Rattus norvegicus: one gene and its partners. The protein of the gene in region 1 purifies or fractionates together with the protein of each later gene. This does not show direct contact. Links are inferred from orthologs where the notes say so. Each region holds a gene or a part of one and is shown in the gene's direction. Other genes may lie near its edges.

Region 1 (7,679 bases):
TTCCTCCCCATGGGCTCATTCTGATCCTCTTCCTTCCCTCCTGCCCCTGGTTCTGGTCTACTTGCCAAGTGCAAACCGGAAGGTCACTCATTTCTGGTGCTGTGAATGGCTGTGGCCGGCTGACTGGCAGGGCAAGGCCACACACAGCCTTCACCCCTGGTTTCATTCTTCTCCAAGTAAGTTCCTTGCAAATGACATGGAGGATGTGGAGAAGCCTAAACTTGAAGTCTCCCTCCTGGGTCCCTGGAGAAGCGTGGTGTTCCCTAGTGGGGGAGTTCTTGAGCAATAGGGATTCTCCGTGGCCTTCCGAGCTGCAATGAGCTATGAGGAGGTGAGGTCTGGCTGGTTAACCCAGGGCACGGAAGCTGGGCCCCCACTGCTGTTCAGTCTACTCTGCCCTTCTCAGATCACGGCCAAGGAGCCAACTCCCGGGCCCTGCAGCTACAGCAGTACCACAGTGAAAGGAGCTGCTCTCAAGTCAGGAGCCCCTCCCCACTGAGCGCAGCCACTGGCTCCTGCACCACAGCGGGCTTTGGGGGGGCCCTTCCCTGCCATCTGAAGGCCATTGTTCTCACTGCCAAAATGATCTCTCAGTGGACCAGAAATCTCTCAGAAATCTCTCAGGTGATGTTCTTGTACCCTTAGATGGGACTGGAGGCAGGCACCTACACCTCTGAGTTAGAAGTCAGAAACTGTTCGAGTGAATACTGGATTGAGGAAGGGAAGGGTATATGGGCTGGGTCTCGCTCTGCCTCTTCCTAGCTTTGTGGGCTTGGCAGGTTTCCCAGTGCAATCCCATCATATCCCCTATCTGCATCTTCCCCGGCCCTCACTTAGCCCTAGCTGATGACCTCCACAGGATCAAGAGCTGCCTGCTTGCTTTCTGGTTGAACCACGTTCTGACTGTCTTCCCTCCTTCTGCCCTCCTGCCCGTGGGCCTCAAGCTGGCAGTGTTGACACTACCTCTCACTTTCCTCTTAACCCACCCACTCAGGTGTCTGCTCCAAGAACAATCGAGAGTCTGATGAACTTCAGGTCCTGGCTTGGTTTCTTGGCCTCGGGTGATGGGGGAGGGTCCAGAAGGCATCAGGCAGTAAAAGCAGAGGACCAGCTCCGCCCCCACCCCACCCCTGGCTGGTGGCCAGTTGCTGCCATCCTGAGCCTCAGTTTCCCTTCTGTGACATTCTTCTCCTATGGGTGTAGAGGGGATTGAATGAGCAGAGGCATCTGGAACCTACCGAAGAGCTCACGTGGAAAGCAGCTCTAGAGCCCATCTAAAAAATAACTTTAGGACCAGGACTGTTTGTAAGTGAGGCACAGTGGCCAGACAAAATGATGTACACCTGGGGCTGGGGATTTAGCTCAGTGGTAGAGCGCTTACCTAGGAAGCGCAAGGCCCTGGGTTCGGTCCCCAGCTCCGAAAAAAAAGAACCAAAAAAAAAAAAAAAATGATGTACACCTGTAATTCAAGTGCTCAGGAGGCAGACGCAGGAGGATCAAGGGTTCAGAGCCACCCCGGGCTACATAGTGAACTTGAGGAACAGCCTGGGCTACAAGACACCTTGTTTGAAAACCAACCAACCAACCAACCAACCGATGAGACAGGGCTCCTGCCTGCGGCTGCAGTCAGTTACACTGCCTTAACTGTTACAGCACAGGTCCTGCTCCAGAGACATAACGACAACCCGAAGAGTGACATCCTGCTGGGGGGGTAAGCTCAGTGGTAGAGCCCTGCTGCACCACAGGGTCAACCCCCAGAACCTCCAAAGCAAACCACAAAAGTAAATTTGTCGTTAATGGGGAGGGGAGGGCTGCCTAGAGGGGGTGACACTTAAACTGAACAAAACTGAACACTCATGGGAAGATGGCCCCATGCGGGTGTGGCAGCCCGGGCTGTAATTCCTGCACTTTGGAGGTGGGTTCTAGGCCTGGTTCCTGAGGATCAGAGGTCAGAAAGCTTGGAGGCTGGGACATTAGAAGCCAAGGCGAGGACTGCAGTTTGTTTTTGTCACTCCCTCCTCCCCCTCCCTTCCCCGCTCTCTCCCCTCTTCTTCCCTCCTCTTCCCTCCCTTTCTTCCTCTTTTATTTTGTGACAAAGGTCTTGTGCTATGCACACACTTGCCTAAAATTCAATGTATAGCCCGGGCTGGCCTTAAGTTTACATCAATCCTTTTGCTGCAGCCTCCCAAGTGCAGAGATTACAGGTGTGTAATCGTGTGTGTGTGTGTGTGTGTGTGTGTGTGTGAATGTGTGTGTATGTGTATGAGTGTGTGTATGAGTGTGTGAATGTGTGTGTGAATGTGTATGTGAGTGTGTGAGTGTGTGTATGTGAGTGTGAGTATGTGAGTGTGTGTGTGTGTGTGTGTGTGTGTGTTACTGGGGCTGAACCCAGGACCTTATGCATGCTAGGCATGGCCTCTTACTGATTATTTATACACTGAACCTCACATGAACATTTTGAAGAGTCCGCTTTTTATTTTTTTATTTATTTATTTAATGTACATGAGTACACTCTTGCTCTTTTCAGACCCTTGCTGGGAGTTGAGCTCAGGACCTCTGGAAGAGCTGTCAGTGTTCTTAACCACTGAGCCATCTCTCCAGCCCCCTTGAAGAGTCAGTCCTCTCACCTTAACCTTAGACATCTCAACAGTGACCATTTTTTTTAGTCTAAAATAGTATCTATTATTGTGTGTATGACTGTGTGTGTATGGTTGTGTGTGTGTATGACTCTGTGTGTGTGTGTGTGTGTGTGTGTGTGTGCATCAGAGGGTAACTTTCAGGACTTGGTTCTCTCCTTCCATCATTGGCTCCAGATCTCAAACTCAAACACACTGTAAGACTTTTACATCAGTGTACCCAATGGGCCATCTCAGTGGCCCCTCATGAGTTTCTTATGATGTCCTCTAAAAAAACAACAAAAAAACCCCTAAATAACTAAATATAAACAGACACCTATGTGAGTATCAGATATTTGTGTGTGTGTGTACATATGTTGACCTCTGACTTTGCTCCTAACACACAGCTCCTAAAATCCACACAATTTTGTGTGTGATAGAATTTGTCCCTCAGAGAAGTCCTTGGATTATTCATAAGGAGAGCAGGTGGAAGTCACGCTAATGAGGTTACAGGGCTGCTCATTTTAGAAAGGCCCATCTTGGGACTGGAGAGATCACTTAGTAGTTAAAGTGAGAAGATGGGAGTTTAAATTCTCAAAGTGATCAGGTATGGCAGCTTGCCTACAACTCCAGATCTGGAAGGCAGAGATGGGATCCCCAAAGCAAATTGTCTAAAAAGACTAGCCAGCCATTTGGTGAGCGGTGTGTTTGACTGAGACCCTCAGTGTGAAGGTGGAAGAGGATTTAGAACGGTTGTTTAGTCAACCTCTGACCTCCACGTGCCTACAGTGAGCTGAGCCCTCCCACAGCAACCATCAATCAAGACAACATTCCATGGGACGGTCTTTTTAAAATTTTTTTTTTAAATTTATTTTCCTCTCATACAGCACATCCTGATGGCAGCTTTCCCTCCCTATTCCTCCTCATCCCCCTAGAACTTGCAGGAGTCTTGGGGAGGCATTTTCTTAGTTAAGATACTCTCCTCCCAGTTGTCTGGGTGTGTGTCAACTTGACAGAAACAATCGGTTTAAACAGACAGAAGGGAGTCACGTGGGTGCCCTGTTTGTGGATGACATCTGAGGGGGGAAGAGTTATCTGTGGAGGAACCTTTAACCCGTGTGCTCTACACTAACCCGGAAAGTTAACAGTGAAGCAGGGGCATCTCTAGCAGGACATGATTTTGCCAGCTGAAGATAGTTTATGTTTGGAATTCTGGGAACTCTTAAGAGGGTGTATAAACCGAGGCCCCCTTTTGCCTCAATCTTCTTTCTCTCCTACCTAGCGTTGGGGGTTTGGACGGGCTTGGGGTGGAGAAGATTGGGATAGGTAAAAGAGTCTACCGTAAAATGGTGACTTCAACCCACCCTACTCTCATTAGCCCACTCAGGGCTAGAGTTGCATTTGATACATCCCCATTTCCCAAGAGCCCCTCCCCCATCTGCCAGTGAGTTCCTGTGGGTTTTAACAGCTTTACTGCAGTATAATTGGCACATAACAAACAACACAGACTTAAAATGGATATCTTGTTTCAATGTGTCATGTATCCACAAAACTTTTATAATCCGAAGAAATAAACATCTGTCACCCCACAAAAAACGTTTTCTTAAGGCCCTTGGCTATCCCTCCCTCTCACCCTTTTCATCCAGTACTCATCTCACTACCCAACACTACAGTAGTGTGAATTCCCCAGAATCCCCTGCTTCCTCCTGGGTGTTTGAATGAGAACGGCCCCCATAGGCTTATATGTTTAAATAGTTGGTCTCCAGTTGGTAGAACTGTTTGGGAAGGATTAGGAGGTGTGGCTCTATTGGAGGAGGAGTGTCAAAAGCCCATTCCATTCTCAGCCACTGCTCCAGTGCCATGCCTCCCTCCCTGCTGCTGTGCTCTCCAATGGGACAGTCATGGACTCACCCTTTGGAACCACAGCCCCCATAACTGCTTCTTGTCTAAGTTGGCTTGGCCATGGCATCTAAACATGAAATAGAAAAGCAACTAAGGCATCTGTCCCTTCTTTCCTCCTCCCCATTCTTCCTGCTGAGGATCAAACCCAGAGCCACATCTGTATTAGTTTTTGTTGTTGTTTTTGAGACAGAATCCTGAAGTGCCCATGGGAAGAGGCACTATTAGGAGATGTGGCCTTGTCAGAGAAAGGGTGTAGGTGGGCTTTGAGACCTAGTGCTCAAACTCTGCTCAGTGTGGGGCAGTCTCCTCCTGGCTGTCTTTAGATCAAGATGTAGAACTCTTGGCTCCTCTAGCACCAAGTCAACCTGTATGCTGCCATGCTTCTCACCATGATTATAGTGGACTGAACCTCTGATTCTGTAAGCCAGTACCAATTAAATGTTTGCCTTTATAAGAATTGCCTTGGGGGACTGGAGAGATGGCTCAGTAGTTAAGAACACTGACTGCTCTTCCCGAGGTCCTGAGTTCAATTCCCAGAAACCACATAGTGACTTATAACTATCTGTAATGGGCTCTGATACACTCTTCTGGTACTTCTGAAAACTGTACTCATATACATGAAATAAATAAATAACTCTTTAAAAACAAAGAGTTGCCTTGGTCACGGTGTCTCTTCACAGCAATAAAACCCTAACTAAGACAGAGGGCTTTGTGTAAGCTAGGCAAGAGTTCTACCCCACTGAGCTACACTCCCAGCTCCATTTATTTACAGATTTGTTTCCATTTTATGTTTATGATTGTTTGCTTATGTGTGTGTTTACCATTTCACACAATGCTCACAGAGGCCAGAAGAGGGCGCCAGAATCCCTGGAACTGGAGTTACACATGGTTTCAAGTACTCAAGTGGGTGCTGGGAACTGAATCACAGTCTTGCTGCTCTTGAAAGAGAACCATGAATTCAAGATGAGTTTAAGCTACACAAAAGGCTGTATCTTAAAAATTAAGGAAACTTGCCATTTTCCTTTTTTGTGCTCTGCTTGTTACAATGGTTGAAGCAATATAGACACAATGTTATTCCTTAAAGTCCACAGTTCACCATCAGGTTCATCCTTAATGTTGTTGATCTAAGGGTTTACAGATACAGTGCCATGCCCTGTATCCACCATGACTGTAGCTTCCTGGCCTTGAAAACTCACTGCGATCCATCCAGTCAGCCCTTTCTTCCCACCTTCTGGTAACCACTTTTCTCTTCATTTTGTCTTTCCCCCCATATTTCCCAGAAAATTTAAGGTCTAGAATCATTCAAGACACCATTTTCTCAAGAGGGTGTGTAAGACAGCTCAGTGGGCAAAGGTGCTTGATGCCAAACTCAACAACCTGAGTTTGATACCCGAACACACATGGTAGAAAGAAGAACAGAAACACGGACACTGCGGCTTATACATGTAAATAAAATCACTTTTGACTTACCAAGATACATTTAAGATCCAATACCATCGTCTATAGCTTTCAGCTCACTCCTTTTTTTTAAAAAAGGATTTATTTTATTTATGAGTGCCCTATCTGCATGTCAGATCCCATTGTAGATTGTTGTGAGCCACCATGTGGCTGCTGGGAATTGAACTCAGGACCTCTGGAAGAACAATCAGTGCTCTTAACTGCTGAGCCCTCTCTCCAGTCCCAGCTCACTCCTTTCTCTACCTTTCTTCCCTGGAGATTGAGCTTAGGGCTTTTTGCGTGCAAAGAAAAGTGGCCTAGCATTGAGCTACAGCTCTTCCTGGTCTTCTAGGGTCTCACTGTAGAGCCCTGGCTGACCTGCGACGTGACTTGTAGACAAGATTGGCCTTGAATTTGGCTCTGCTCCAAGTACTGATCAGGAATGTGTCACCATGCTCCTCTGCAGCTCAAGTTTTTAAGGCAGGGTCCAGCTAAGTGAGTGACTCAAGTTGCCAGGAACTCCCTCTATAGCCCGTGCAGGCCTTGAACGTGTGATCCTCCAGTTTCAGCTTTCCAGCTGCTGGGAGTACAGGTGGTGACACGCTTGGAGCTCCTTTTTTCTATCACTGAGTTTAAAGAAGCTGAGAAGTCCGCTGATCCCTCTGCCACACTGGAGAAAGCTGGGGGTGAGGGGGCAAAAGGCCATCACCTCTGCTCCTATTGTTGATTCCCCATGTGTGTGACAGTCATGAACCATGAAATGGGAACTTCCTTAATATGGACAGCAATTCGTCAGTCAAGTACCACCAATACCTCGGCCCCTGTAAAGGTCATCCATATTAGCCTGGCATTGAGAAGGGCTTCACCACTGCAGTCTATGCCATTTCTCCCACCCAGAAGACTATGGGCAGCCTTTCTGAGAACCTGTCATCTGATGGCCATGGGGATATCCAGAGCATCATCACGCAGAGGCTGACACTGCCAAGACTCAGTCAAGGCCAGCCCTGAACTGAATGAATGGGAAGCTCACTGGGTGTCCCTCCTGTGTCCAACCATAGTATCAGGATCCTACCTGCTAAGTTGCTGAGTACAATGACATCAGGAAAGTGGTAAGGAGCCAGGTGTGGTGGCACACACCTTTGATCCCAACACTCAGGAGGTAGACGCAGCCTGGTCTACATACTGAGTTCCAGGACAGTTGGGGCTATGTAGAGTAAAAGAGCTTGTTTTTTGTTTTGTTTTGTTTTGTTTAAAGAGTGAATCAATCTGAAGGGCATTCCCCGAGGACCAGTTTGTTCCTGCAGATTAAAAGTAGACTCCTTATTCTACCTTTTTTTTTTTTTTTTAAGATTTATTTATTATGTACACAGAGTTCCACCTCCATGTATACATGCAGGCCAGAAGAGGGCACCAGATCTCATTATCGGTGGTTGTGAGCCACCATGTGGTTGCTGGGAATTGAACTCATGACCTCTGGGAGAGCAGACAGTGCTCTTAACCTCTGAGCCATCTCTCCAGCCCTTATTCTACCTTTTATGCTGAGGCTGGCACCACCTTCAATGGCCATCTTGTCAAGTTAATTGCCTGGTGTGACAATGAATGTGGGTATAGCACTTAGGTGGTGGCACTTAGGGTCCACATGGCTTCCAAAGAGTAAGAGCCTCTGGGCCACCAGGTCAAGCAGGATTAGAAGAGAAAGAGAGCTGTATCTGCTGGGGTGTCCCT
Region 2 (6,669 bases), about 120 Mb from region 1:
GAAGATCAGTTCAAAACATTCTGTTAAACAATGAGATTGAGGCTAGCCTGGGCTATATGATACCACCTCACAAAATATACACACGGGGATCAAAAATCACTGAAAAGTACTTCAGGGAGTTACCAGATGGTAAGTTGGATTGACAGAGGAACGATAGGAGAGCTCACAGATGCCGGGAATTGGGAGTCAGGGAGACAGAATTAGAGGGCAATATGGGTAGTGAAAAATGGGTTTTATTTTTGTTTGTATGTGTGCTTTGCTTGCATGCATGTCTTTGTACCACATTTGTGTTGGTGCCTTTAGAGCCAGAAGAGGGTGCTAGATCTCCTAGAAGTGGACTTCAGCTATGAGCTGCCTATGGGTGCTCAGAATTGAATCCAGGTCCTCTGGAAGAGCAATCCATACTCTTAATTCCTGAGTCATCCCCTAGCAAAGCACCCGTGAATCTTTCTTTGTTTGAGTCAAGGTCTCACTATGTAGCCCCATCTGTTCTCTGGAACTCACTGTGTAGACCAGGCTGGCCTCAGACTCAAGAGTTCAGCCTGCCTCAGCCCCCAGACTACTGGTATCAAAGGCAGTCTGCGATAGGCTCCCTGAAGCATTTTTAAATTGTTTTGAGATAGGGCCCTGTGGTGTAGCTCACCTGCCTTAGTCTTCTGGGCCCTGGGCAAGTATCATCCCGTTTACTGATGTTCTGAGGGCACCAAGCTGGTAGCCTCACCGAGTCCTGGGTGAAGGTGAGGACAAAGAGGACTTCCCAAGTGAGAGACGCCTGAGCTCCCATCCAAAGCGGAGGACACAGACAGTCAAATCCAAACACAGGAGTATTTGTAGGCAGAGGGCAGGGCTTGTGCCAGTGAGTTGAGCCTGAGGTCAGACTGCTTAGTGTGGCAGAGGGGTGTGGCAGAGGGGTGTGGCAGAGGGGTGTGGCAGAGAGGGAATCCACATTAGTCATCACCAAATCATTTATCCGCTCTGGCTTAGATCTGGGTCACCACCCTCTGTGATCCCGCCTTTCAGAGCTTCCAGTTTCGCTAAGGTTAAGTCTTGCTTCCCACACACACAGGCCTGAGCAACAATTAACCTGGCTTGCTCCCAGCAAGCCCTTAGGTGGTGTTAGTGCCATTGCAATTTTGTCCGTTGAGATCTTATTTGACTGATGATCACATTAAATTATTGGAGATTCTTTGAACAGGTAAGGCAGACTGGTTGTTTAACCTCAGTTTACCTATATATAGAATGGGGACAATAACAGCGTCTGTCCCACAGTCCTGCCGCGAGGGCACACAACCTGGTGAGCGCAGAGCACGGAGGAACTGGCAGTTACTTGTCGATATTGCTTAAGGATGGGCAAGAGTAAATGAGCTGAGGGATCGGGGTGAGCTCCTAGCTGAGGGAACAATATGGTGACCTGGGGACTAACAGGAGAGCTGCCATTTTCCCTGTATTTATCACTTAATTCTGGGGCTCATCCAGGGGAACCTGTGTCTAACGTCCTCGAGGGTCTCATGTAGCCGCCCCCACCTCCAAGGGCTGGTGTTACAGGTGTGCGTCATCACGCCTGGCTGTGTTCCCTCCTTACAGATGAGGAAATCATTACTCAGAGACACCAGGTCACTGTTTTAGGGATGAGCAATACAGGCTCAAACCAAGGTTTACATAGTCCCAACGGAGCGGCCAGACAGCCAGACTAGAAGCCAAAAGGCGACCTGGGTGGGAGGCACAAACTGAAGGTAAACTAAAGATTTAGAGTCCTAGCATTGGAGAAGCAGAAGCAGGAGGATTGCTTCGAGTTTGAGGTGAGCCAGGGCTTTAGATCAGCTTAGGGTGTTGAACAAAACTCTATCTCAAAGTGCACGATGAATGAATGAATGACAATAACTGAAGTCCTTTTTTGCAACTATATACTGCAAAGGTGACCAGGTAGCCTGGATCTAGTTCCTGGAGGCTCCAGTGCCTGGGCGTTAGAATGGTCTACTCGTACTCATAGCTATTAAATCTGGAGAGCGTTGAATTACCAGCAGTGTGTGTACGGGGAGGGCTGAGCTAGGTAGAGACACAATCATAGCCCGCTACGTAGGGCGGGGCCTCCTGCGCAGGCGCAGTCTGCAATGGCGGCTCTAGGACCGCGCGGACCGCGGCTGGGTGGCGAGCCGGCTTTAACCCGGAGCTGCCTGAGTCACCGGCCCCGCCCTCCAGAGCCGGACACAGCGGGAGGCCCAGCGGCGGGCGAGCAAGACCGCGGACCGCCGGATCCGTAAGTGAGACGGGGCGCTTCAGTCCAGCACCCCTGCACCCCGCTGCCCGGGATCCGCTGTCCTCAGATCTGGCGAGACCCTAAAGTCGTGGCCTTGGGGGTCTTAGGACCCGTGTTCTCAGATCCGAACAACCAGGCCTGTCAGACGCTGGTCATTCCCTCCAGAGCACTCCTTGCCATCCCGGAACTCAGGATCAAAAATATAACCCCAAAGATCAGAGAGGCACCCATAAATTATCTGGGGCGTCTAGAACCACGATCCGAGATCCTGGTTCCAATTTGCGGTGTGTAGAACTCCGTTATCCGGGATCCTCCGGGCGCACAGCCATAATTTTAGGCCGGAGTCCCACAGATCCCTAATGACAGTGTAGTTCCTCTGTCGAAACTACCTGAATGTCCTAATCCACATTAGGGACTTCCTGGACTCAGCCCTGGGTCACCCCTACCCTGAGCTCAATTCTGGAAGGCCTGGATCTGAGACACGTCCGGTATACCTTACCCAACTGGGGAGTGGGGGTCCTTACATGGGGAATCCCCTGTTTCCCCGCTGCCTCAAGACAGGGGTAATCCAGGCTGGCGCTGTAGCCGAGGTTGGCCTTGAACTGATCCTCCAGCCTCAGCCTCCCAATTTCTGGGATTACAGTTGAGCGCCACCACGCTCGTCCAGCTCTACCCCTGTCCTCATTGACCACGTTTGCAGTCAAGCCTGGGCCAGGGTACCTGCTAGACCCTAGGAGGTTTCGCACCTTCCTGTCACCTGTCCAGATTCTGCCCCCATCCCGAGGCCTCTGTTCTGTCCCCAATCTAATTGCCGGAAATGCTTTCTTTTTTTTTCTTTTTGCGGGAAGGGCTGGGTTCTTGGCAAGACGACTACCTGACCCACCCCCTTTTCTTTACAGGACTCTGCTGCAAACATGTTCTTGGTGAATTCGTTCTTGAAGGGCGGCGGTGGCGGTGGGGGAGGCGGGGGTCTGGGCGGGGGCCTGGGCAATGTGCTCGGAGGCCTGATCAGCGGAGCTGCTGGAGGCGGCGGCGGTGGAGGCGGCGGTGGCGGCATGGGACTGGGAGGAGGTGGCGGAGGCGGTGGAACAGCCATGCGTATCCTGGGCGGAGTCATTAGCGCCATCAGGTAAGGCGGGGCCTAAAGGGGCAGGGTGGGCCAAATTATAAAGAAGCTCACTTAGAGGTCCGACATGGGAATCCTAATTAGGTTGGGCTGGTCCAAACTGGAAAAGTGGCCCTAAGGGGATCCCAACGAGACTGGTGTCACTTTTTAAAAACTGGGTTAGTAAACTTGCTTCTGTGGGTCAATAAATAGGATGCAGTTTCTTGGGGGTGGGGAGGAGGTACTCTTCTGTGTTTGGGGAAGGTATGATCCTATAAGACTGTATCCAGTCTTCACTGGGGGCGGAGCCAGTGGATCTGAAGTTGCTCCATGATTTAAGATTTGACCTAAGTGGAGCTTGCTGTTATAGGAGAGATCAGAACCCCCGAAAGAAGAAATGGTCCAGAGAAGGTTGTGTGGGGTCGGGAGCTGATTGGGTTGGTGGATAAAAATCCTAGCTGGGGTAAGAGCAGGTGACTGACACCTGATTATCTTTGGCGATCCAAGCAGTGATTCCTGGGAGGAGTAGGTGTTGATGGGGGAGAGGTTGGGAAGCTAGATAATCTGCAAAAGGAGCGATGGAGTCAGGCTCTGGACAAAGACCTGACCTGAGGAAGATAGAGGCATAGGGGAAACTGGTGCAGACCGACCCCTTAAGAAGCGAGTTCTTCAAGGGGCGGGCCCTGTTAAGTTTGGTGGGTTTTCGGGATTTTGATTGGGGCTAAGATGCTTCTGACATTGTGATTGGTGGGTGTTCCTGGGGCAAGGTAAGGATTCTTCCGTGGGGTGGGCCCTTGGGAGGTGGGAGGGGTTGGCCTGATGGAGGAAAAGGAGGAGCCGCAGAAAGCTGTTGATTGGGCCAGGTGAGAACGACGAGATAGACGAGAGGAGGAGGGACCCCTTAAGGAAGAGGAGGGCTGGAGTTTGAGGGGTTGACTGACCGTTCTGCCGCCCGTTGGAGGCTCTGCCCCCATGCGCTAACTCACCCTTGTCTCCCCTCAGCGAGGCTGCTGCGCAGTACAACCCGGAGCCCCCGGTAAGCGGCCCTAGAGACCCTTCCTCCCTAGGCCTGTTGCCCGCATTATCTTACCCATTCCTATGTATAAGGCTCCCCTTCCTTCCTTGGAAAATTCCCCTGCCGGCAAGAATGTCCTTTTTGAGGGCCCCTATTGTCTCAGCCACGCTACTTGCTACACTCACCTCAAACTGCCCACCCCTCCCTGACTTTTCCCTGGGATCTTGGGTATGAGGAGAGAGACGTGTTTCTCCACGTCTGTTCTGAAATCGCTTCTCTCTGCAGCCCCCACGTAGCCATTACTCTAATATTGAGGCCAACGAGAGTGAAGAGGAACGTCAGTTCAGGAAACTTTTTGTCCAGCTGGCTGGAGACGTAAGTATACTGCGTGGCTGCTCCACGGTGTTACCTGACTGTGAAAAACCGGAAGTTCCCACCCCGTTTTGTTTTATGGTATCCAGACCTCTTTCCATCTCCCTTGAACCATACTTAACTTCTGCCATCAGGACATGGAGGTCAGCGCTACAGAACTCATGAATATCCTCAACAAGGTCGTGACCCGACGTAAGTGACCAGGGTCAGGGAGTGATGAAGGTGTAGAGGCGTATGGGCTGGGATGATCTTTGACCTCTGACCTTCAACCTGTCCACCCATCTAACCCCCCTCAGACCCAGATCTGAAAACTGATGGGTTCGGCATTGACACTTGTCGGAGCATGGTGGCTGTTATGGATGTATCCTTTTGGGGCCAGTCTGGAGGATGTCTTGGGTGAAGAGGGTGTTTTCTGGGAGTATGTTGAGGACAGACGAGGTGAAGCCTTCATACCTGAGGACACAGGCCTACCTACATGACACCACCAGAACTTTACCTGGATTAGGAGACCCAACCTTTACAGATACCTTGTTAGATAAGGACAATGTAATAGGAAAGGAAACAGGGTCAGAGAGACACAGTGGTTTTTTTTTTTTTTTTTTTTTTTTTTTTAATTAAAATTGCACCCTGGTGCATTGATTTTAATTTGGGAACTCAATCCAAGGCAGTTTCTCCTTAGTGGTGGCCCTCTGGCCCTGGACACACACACACAGACTGGGGGCCCGCAGAATAGCTGGAACAGCAAGGGATGGGACAATCAAATATCCATTCATCAGAGGGCAGCCAAGTCTTCAGTTCTGCACACCTTGCTGGTGATTGGGTGACAAGTTTCAGAGAGACACAGTGGTTTTGTCTCTGGCCAACCCACCCAGAACTCACTGGACTTGAATATCTGATCTTGGAAGCTAATCTTGGGGCTACTCGAGACTTAGATAACAGAACCAATCATTTGGAGAATACATGGCAGGTTAGGAATTTGGACTTGGGAGTTTCGATTTGAGAATCTAAGCTGCTTTTATTTCTCTATTTACTTTTAAATGATATTGATTGATTGATTGGTTTTTGAGACCGGGTTTCTCTGCCTTGGCCGGCCTGGAATTCACTCTGTAGACCTGGCTGGCCTCGAACTCCGAGATCTGCCCACCTTTGCCTCCCAAGTTACAGAATTAAAGGAGTGTGCCACCATCATGAGATTATCAGTTTTAGGTGTACTTATTTTATGTGTCTGGGTGTTTTGTCTGAATGTAATTATGTGCACCTGATACATGTCTGGTGTTGGAAGAGGACAAAAGAGGGTATCAAACCTCTCAAGAGTGTGTTACAGGGGGGTTGGGGATTTAGCTCAGTAGTAGAGCACTTGCCTAGCAAGCGCAAGGCCCTGGGTCGGTCCCCAGCCCCGAAAAAAAAAGTGTGTTACAGACAGTTATGAGCTGCCATGTGGGTGCTAGGAATCGAACCCAGGTCCTTTCTTCAAGAGCAACCTATTCTGTTAATCTCTCCAGTCTATATATCTATATCCATATCCATATCTATATCTATCTCAAGGGGCATAACTACATGCATGGTACATATGTTCACATATATACATCCCAAGAACATAACTACATGTATAGGATATGGAGGAATGTGTACAGAAACTCACATAAACATTTGCACATGGGCCAGGCAGTATTGAATCCTGAGTGTGTACACATACATCTAGCACACTTTACTCACTATCTCCTTAGCTCCTACGCCCCACCCCCACCCCAAGGCTCTGTGGGATCAAAGATGAGTGCCACCACTGCCCAGCTAAAACTTCTTTTATTTTTAATTTATTTTTATTTTGTGTGTATTGGTGCTTTGCCTGTATGTATGTCTGTGTGAGGGTGTCAGATCTTGGAGTTATAGACAGTTGTAAGCTGCCATCTAGGTGCTGGG
Region 3 (6,583 bases), on another chromosome or scaffold:
TGTTTGTTTGTTTGTTTATCTTTTTTTAAAATTAACTTGAGTATTTCTTATATACATTTCAAGTGTTATTCCCTTTCCCGGTTTCCGGGCAAACATCCCCCCAATCCCTCCCCCTCCCCTTCTTTATGGGTGTTCCCTTCCCCACCCTCCCCCCATTGCTGCCCTCCCCCCAACAATCTAGTTCACTGGGGGTTCAGTCTTAGCAGGACCCAGGGCTTCCCCTTCCACTGGTGCTCTTATTAGGATATTCATTGCTACCTATGAGGTCAGAGTCCACGGCTTAGCATAGGTCTCTAATACCTCCTTGTATCAAGAACCTGGTGCTAGATTTTTTTTTTTTAAGGATAAATAGTTGCAATATCCACAGACATTGTTATAGGAAATGCTGCCTCTATCTGTGCAGGGATTCTCTAAGATCCCCAAATGTGAAGACCTTCCTTTCATGGTTTCAGTAACTCTCAGTTACAAAGCAAAATACTTCAACTTCTGACATTAGTTTTTACTCATAGCCATTAATGTGCTGGGAAACAGTGTTTGACTTAAATACTGAGTCAAGCAAAACCTGAGAAATAGCATTGTTAAGCTTTATGGATTTTCATAACTTGTGGCAAATTGTAGTCAGTAAGTTATAGAATGCCAAATAGATCTGTTGATCTGAACGGAGACCCTCAGCTTCATAAGACAAAAAGATGAGAGTGTTCCCTTTATTTCCTGCAGTGTCTCTTCTCTTCCTGTCCACACTGTACCAACACCCTCTACATTTCTCTTTTCTTGTCTATAATCAACAGTACCCATGAAACACCACATTCCAGAAGCACATTTGTCTTTATTTACATACTGTATATTTCCCATTGCCACCCAATCAATCACCAACTAAATCCAAATAACTTGTAAGTTCCTGGGTCCCAGGGGAGTCCCAAGTTTAGTCTTTGCATATCCTTCTCTCTACTATTCCTCCCATAGGGCTTTACATAGAAGACTCTCAATGAATGCAAAATTAACTGGTTTAAATTCAATTTTTAAATATTCTGCTGAAAAACATAAGACTTTTTTTTTTCAGTCTAACGATTTTCCCTATTTTGGATGTAAATGATGCATGCCACCAACCAATCTTTGCTAATGACAGTTTGTACACCAAAATGTTTCAATTTATGTATGCATTCTTGCACTGCTACCTATCTTTTGAAATATTGGTGACATTATACATAGAGCACTTCACGAAGAAATGCATAAAATCCAAGAACATTGCTAATTAATTTGTGAGAAGTTGAGAGATATCCCTAAAATTGAAGGGGCACTGGACAACCATAATTCTGTTCTGCCAAGCTCCTTATAGCATGGCAAATCTTGCTCTGTAATGGGGCTTCTCTCTTGTCATCTGTCTAAAACCTAGCTCTCTAGCATGTTGACGAAAAACCACAAATCACAATGCTATTGTGGTGGCACAGGCTTTTTTTGTGGCTGGCACTAGTCAGCAGTATCTGCAGGCTGACAAACCCTTTGGATGAGTACTCAAAAAGATTGTTAAATTTCACTTCCAGCCCCAAACCAGGAAGTACTGCCTAAAATGAAGCCAAGTCAAAAGCAATTCAACATCAGAAATGTAGGCTCCAGAAAAGGAGATGACTTTAAAGTCCGTGATTGTCTGCTGATTTGGATTAGAGCAGGCAGGCTAGCTTCTGCTTGTAAACCATTAGTACACTTACAGAATTGCCTATATAAATAATCAAATACAGGACATAGCACACTCAGAAGTACACAAACACTGAGAGACCAATTTCTTCTCAAGATCCTTTCTCTTATCTTTAGTTCGGATTTAGGCTAGAGTTGAATTAGTGACAGATTGCAGAAAAGTGTCTAATTCTCCAAATTCTTAGGAAAGGAAGTCTAGACCACGCCCCAGTTTAGCTCTCTGGTTACACAATGTCTAGATTGGTCTGGACAAGTCCACCCGGGAACTGCAACCTCCAGCTTCCCCAATTTGTGATCCACTGAGAACCCTGCAGTTTTGGGGCCAGTCTGGGGAGGGTCTTGTGTACGAACCCTGAGCAGAGGGCGTTAAACTGCAGTTCAGGGTTGCTGACAAATTGGGCAGTGAGCGGCCCACAGGAAGAGGAGGGCCTAACCGGGCGAGGGGGAGCTGGCCCGGGCTCAGGGCTGGGTCGGAAAAGCTGCCTCACTGCGCCGTTCCGCTCCACCGCCCCGAGCTCTGGCCTGGGCCTCCCGTACAATTTCTCTGCGCTTTCCCAGAGGCTGCACTCGCAGCAGTTTCACCAAATAATGTCCCGGCCCGGCCCGAAGCCCGCCGCCTCTTCCAGGCCCCGGCGCGGGGCGGCAGCTAGCCACACCCAGGAGGTGAGTAGTACTCCGAACCGAGCCGCGGGGCAAGCGGCAGGGGGCCGTAGTCCAGGAGTGCCTCGCAGCAGTTCTGGGGCGTTGCCCCTCCTTGGCACCTTCCAGATAGGAAAAGGATCAGAGCTCTGTGACTGCGGGCAAGCAGGTGGCCCCAGGCTCTTTAAATTTGGTAGTGTCACGAGTTGGGTGGAGGGGCTCTTGGAGCAACACGGGCTAGTGAGACCAAGGCAGTGCACAAGGCATGGAAGCAGAATAAAGTATACTCCGGACTTTCGGAGTGAGTGGGCTCGTACGGCACGGCAGAGGGCCTCTGCCCTCCATGTGAAGTCACCCCCCACCCCCACCCTCACACACTTTCCATGTAGGGAGTGGCGGCTGAAGAACTGACACACACCTCTTTCCTAATTAGCCAGATCGGACAGGGCGGGACCACGCTAGCTGTGGGCGGGTCCTATCGCTCCTTTCCCTTGTGCCCTCCCACCGGGCAGCTGCGTAACACCCTGTGCCCTGTCAGAAAGGTCCCAGCCAGGCAGAGAGTCGTAGTGGTGCCACCAGCACCTCACTCTTCGTCCTGGACAGCTTCCCAGCAGCGCGGCTCGGAGCACGTCAGGGTTGTCGCCATGGCATTCGCAAACTGGTGGTACAAGACGGTAAATAGAAGGGACCGAGCTTGGGCAGCACTGGGAAGGGAGTGTATTTACCTCGCCCCACTGGCAGGTTGAGGAAATATGGCATGAAGTTGGAGGGCCAAGGGTGAGACCGGGTGAGAACTCCTTGCAGACCTTCTGGTTAAGCTCGGGCAGAAGCTGGAGGCTCTCCCTTCCGTGGTATGCGGACGCATACTGGGCGGTACAGTCTGGGCAGCGAGGTGCACCAGGCTCAGCTCGCATTCCCAAATTGAATGGACAGCAATCCTTAATTTCTGCCCTTTGAAACACTTACCTGGATACATAGAAAAGAAGCACTGAAGCCCAGGTTTAGTTTTTCGACTGCTAAGTAAAGATAAAAACTTACAAAGAATGGTGGGTGAAGCAGTTTCAAACTCGAAAGAGGAGGATGGGGAATGGAAAAGAAGAAAAGATCAGAGAACAATTGTGATCAATTAATACTCTGGCGGGAAGGGGGATGGGGGAGAGAGAGAGAAATGAGTATATGTCACTACTCTGTATTACTTTGCAAGAGGACAAACGTGTTCCATTTGGTTAGTGGTTAGTCTGTCCTACCAAGTATGTGTTATACCCAGTCAAACTGGAACTTGTAATGTTTTGAAACCAGGAAGCATGGTTTTTACATTACATTTAAAAAAGAAAAAACAACAACAAAAACAAAAGTTTCCAACCCTTTGTTGACAGAGAGTCATGAGGTGATTTATGGTGAGAATTTCAAAATCTTAGGTCCACCTTCTCAGGAGGTGGTATGGACAAAGTAAAGATGCAGTAATCAGATAATCTTTGCATCTACAAACTTTGGGTTAGAATTAGAAAATAGGCATTGAGAACTGATTGATCATCTAAGTGTGCTAGCCTTCAAGTGCACTGTAGAGTTCTTAACTCAAGTGGCAATGATTTCAATGTGTGAGTCTTTATGTTTTCATATCTGTCAAATACCAAATATTTACATAAGGACTATTCAGCAGTAGACATGCCACATATGTGTTTTCAGTGATGTTTCTTCATGAATGTTCTCCCTTACACTTTTCTGTGCTGTTTAAATGTATAGTTTTATTAATTTGCTGAGAGCGTATGTTTGCATTGAGTCATGATTGTCCCAGAATTCTTATCAAAATGCACCCATTAAATTATCTGCAAATATGGGTGGCAGGTGTTCAACTAACATCAGATTTCTCTGTCCAAGCTTGGCGTTGTCTAAAGGAAATTGTGCCAGCTACTTAGATGAAGATAGCTTAGATCTTTGCTTTTAATACCTACTGCACTGTGTGAGACACTTTGATATTTTTGCCCAAATTCCACTACAAGCCAGTTTGGGGATTATTATTTAAGACTTCTGCTTGTGCTAACTTTCTAGAACTTTCAGCATGCTTGTGATCAAGTTTTGACTTTTCTCCAGCAGAAAAGTACTATGATACCCAAAAGGGCTTTAAAAATTTGTAACAGTCCCATTAACAAAAATATTTTAAGAAGTCAAGTATGTTAATAACATTTTTGTTAACTGGCTCTATCCTAGGTGACATTTAAGTATGTAATCATGTGCTAAAAATGACAAGTCACCTCTTTTTGTGCTAATTACTCAAAAATCTGGCTGTGCAGTTATGTTATACTCACAGTATCTCCCAATTCCCATATTTCAGAGTTTCACTTGCCACTGTGGCTAGTGAAATAACACAGGCAGGAAAGCTCTAAGTGGCTTGTTCCTAATCTTCTTTTGTTTTTATTGTTGTTGTTTGTTTGTTTGTTTGTGTTTTTTACATTTCATTTTGAGAATGAAATATAGTACTTTCTCTCAACAATATACATATATAATTTGCCTCTTCAAGGCATGCAAAGTCTGCACAAATCTTTCTCCAATGCCAATTTTAACATATAGATACATATAAATGCATATGTTCTTATATTCTGTGCATATATAAAATATGTGTACATATTTTCATATGTGCAATGTATATATTAAGTAGTTTTGTTTATGTGCCTATGAATAAAAGTGTGCTGTTAAACCCTTTTATCACATATTCAGCCACCAATCAAAAATAATTTTTAAAAATTGAATCTTCATTGAACATGTATCAATTTCTTTTGTCATTATTCCCCAAGCAATATAATATAAAAATGTGGATATGCCTTAATATTGGGTATCATAGAGCACAGGAAGACAGTGAATAGTTTAGATGTGAACATGCTATTTCATACAAGCCATTTGAGCATCTGCAGGATTTGATTTCTCAAAACATTTCTAAAACCAGTTTCCGAAAGATACCAATGGAATTCTACACACACCGCACACACATCCTTGTAGAATACTTCTAGTGAGTCCTATAATTAGAATATCCTTAGTATCCTTAGTAAGATTCTTTAAATACTAAAAATAATATGAGTGATCTAACTTTATACAGAATAAAAGTAGAGTAATGCAAAGATATGTTCATTTAAGAGCATGCTACTTGTAAAGCCAACCAAGGAAACATAATATTGTACATTTTCACACTGATTACCATCTGAATATTTTTGATTGTAGTAAAAACCAACTTTATAAAATTTGTTAAAAAGCTACATTTAGAGAATATCTGATGAACATCATAATTATCAGAACTCAGTATACTTGGCTTACATAAATAATTAGATTCCTGACTCATATCTTGATTCTGTTACCTTGTGATAATTAAAGGTGTTTTTTAGTTTATTTAGATTTATAGCCCCAGTGAGAGCATAATCAAGGTACTCAGTCATTTGGAAGGCTCCACCATTGCAGCTAGACTGGCCAAAGTGTTGCAGACTACCCATGGCAAAACAGACAACTTGGTTGCAATAGATTTTCCGGGGGCAAGGGTGGAGGCAAAATTATGAGGTCTGCATAAAGGCTGTAGTATAGTATTTAAGGCAGCAAGAATGAAGAGGTCAAAGGTCACAATTTTTTGATTGGCAGTCCCTGAATGGAATATTTTTCCATTGCATAAAAGTTTTTTAAAATGAGTAACATATGATGATATTGCTCTTTAATCAGTTTTAAACCTTCTTAGAAAGTTAATTATATTATTCAAGTGGTTGGGTTGGAAACAAAGGGTAGTCATTGAGAGTCCAAGGTGGACAGACAACTGGTAGTTAGTTCTAAGCAGGTTATTTCAGCATCAGCAGGGTGTCTCAGTCAGACTTCCATTTTCTCACTTTGGAATACTTTCAAGATCTAAATCTTATTAGCATGGCAGTAAAGTTCTGTTCTTCAAGTTGTTTCATTTTCCTTTTATGAAAACTTATTAAGACTGTGACTACCGTGAATTGGAAAAGAGTCTCATCAGTTAAGAAAACATTTTAAAACTGTTCCATCCAGTGGAGATGGAGAACCAGTTAATTCAGTCGGGGTGTGTGTGTGTGTGTGTGTGTGTGTGTGTGTGTGTGTGTGTGTGTTTTGGTGTGGGGGTGGAGGGCAGTCAGTATGCCACAATGTACATGTGGAGATCAGAGAACAGCTGGTGCACACAGTCCTCTCCTACCTGCGACGTGGGTTCCAGGAGTCAAATTCAGCTGTCAGGCTTTGTTTGGCACCAAGTGCCTTTTCC

What was found. Proteins that work in one complex are often made in the same cells at the same time.
Region 2: the proteins of Capn1 (region 1) and Capns1 purify together in Homo sapiens (co-immunoprecipitation; 4 studies listed by BioGRID and IntAct, counting the BioPlex papers as one, with this or other methods). This does not show direct contact. The link is inferred for Rattus norvegicus from reciprocal best matches to the Homo sapiens genes CAPN1 and CAPNS1.
Region 3: the proteins of Capn1 (region 1) and Cast purify together in Homo sapiens (co-immunoprecipitation; 4 studies listed by BioGRID and IntAct, counting the BioPlex papers as one, with this or other methods). This does not show direct contact. The link is inferred for Rattus norvegicus from reciprocal best matches to the Homo sapiens genes CAPN1 and CAST.

What each region holds. Positions count from the first base shown.
Region 1 is NC_086019.1:212,731,919-212,739,597, reverse strand, and holds the start of Capn1 (calpain-1 catalytic subunit), read left to right. Parts: upstream 1-3,463; 5' UTR 3,464-7,679. UniProt on the Homo sapiens protein: Calcium-regulated non-lysosomal thiol-protease which catalyzes limited proteolysis of substrates involved in cytoskeletal remodeling and signal transduction. Proteolytically cleaves CTBP1 at 'Asn-375', 'Gly-387' and 'His-409'.
Region 2 is NC_086019.1:94,577,772-94,584,440, reverse strand, and holds the start of Capns1 (calpain small subunit 1), read left to right. Parts: upstream 1-2,219; 5' UTR 2,220-2,257; intron 2,258-3,156; 5' UTR 3,157-3,171; coding exon 3,172-3,386; intron 3,387-4,364; coding exon 4,365-4,398; intron 4,399-4,662; coding exon 4,663-4,752; intron 4,753-4,883; coding exon 4,884-4,941; intron 4,942-5,045; coding exon 5,046-5,110; intron 5,111-6,669. UniProt on the Homo sapiens protein: Regulatory subunit of the calcium-regulated non-lysosomal thiol-protease which catalyzes limited proteolysis of substrates involved in cytoskeletal remodeling and signal transduction. Essential for embryonic development.
Region 3 is NC_086020.1:5,812,537-5,819,119, reverse strand, and holds the start of Cast (calpastatin), read left to right. Parts: upstream 1-2,133; 5' UTR 2,134-2,280; coding exon 2,281-2,355; intron 2,356-2,824; exon of another isoform or gene 2,825-2,975; coding exon of another isoform or gene 2,976-3,005; intron 3,006-6,583.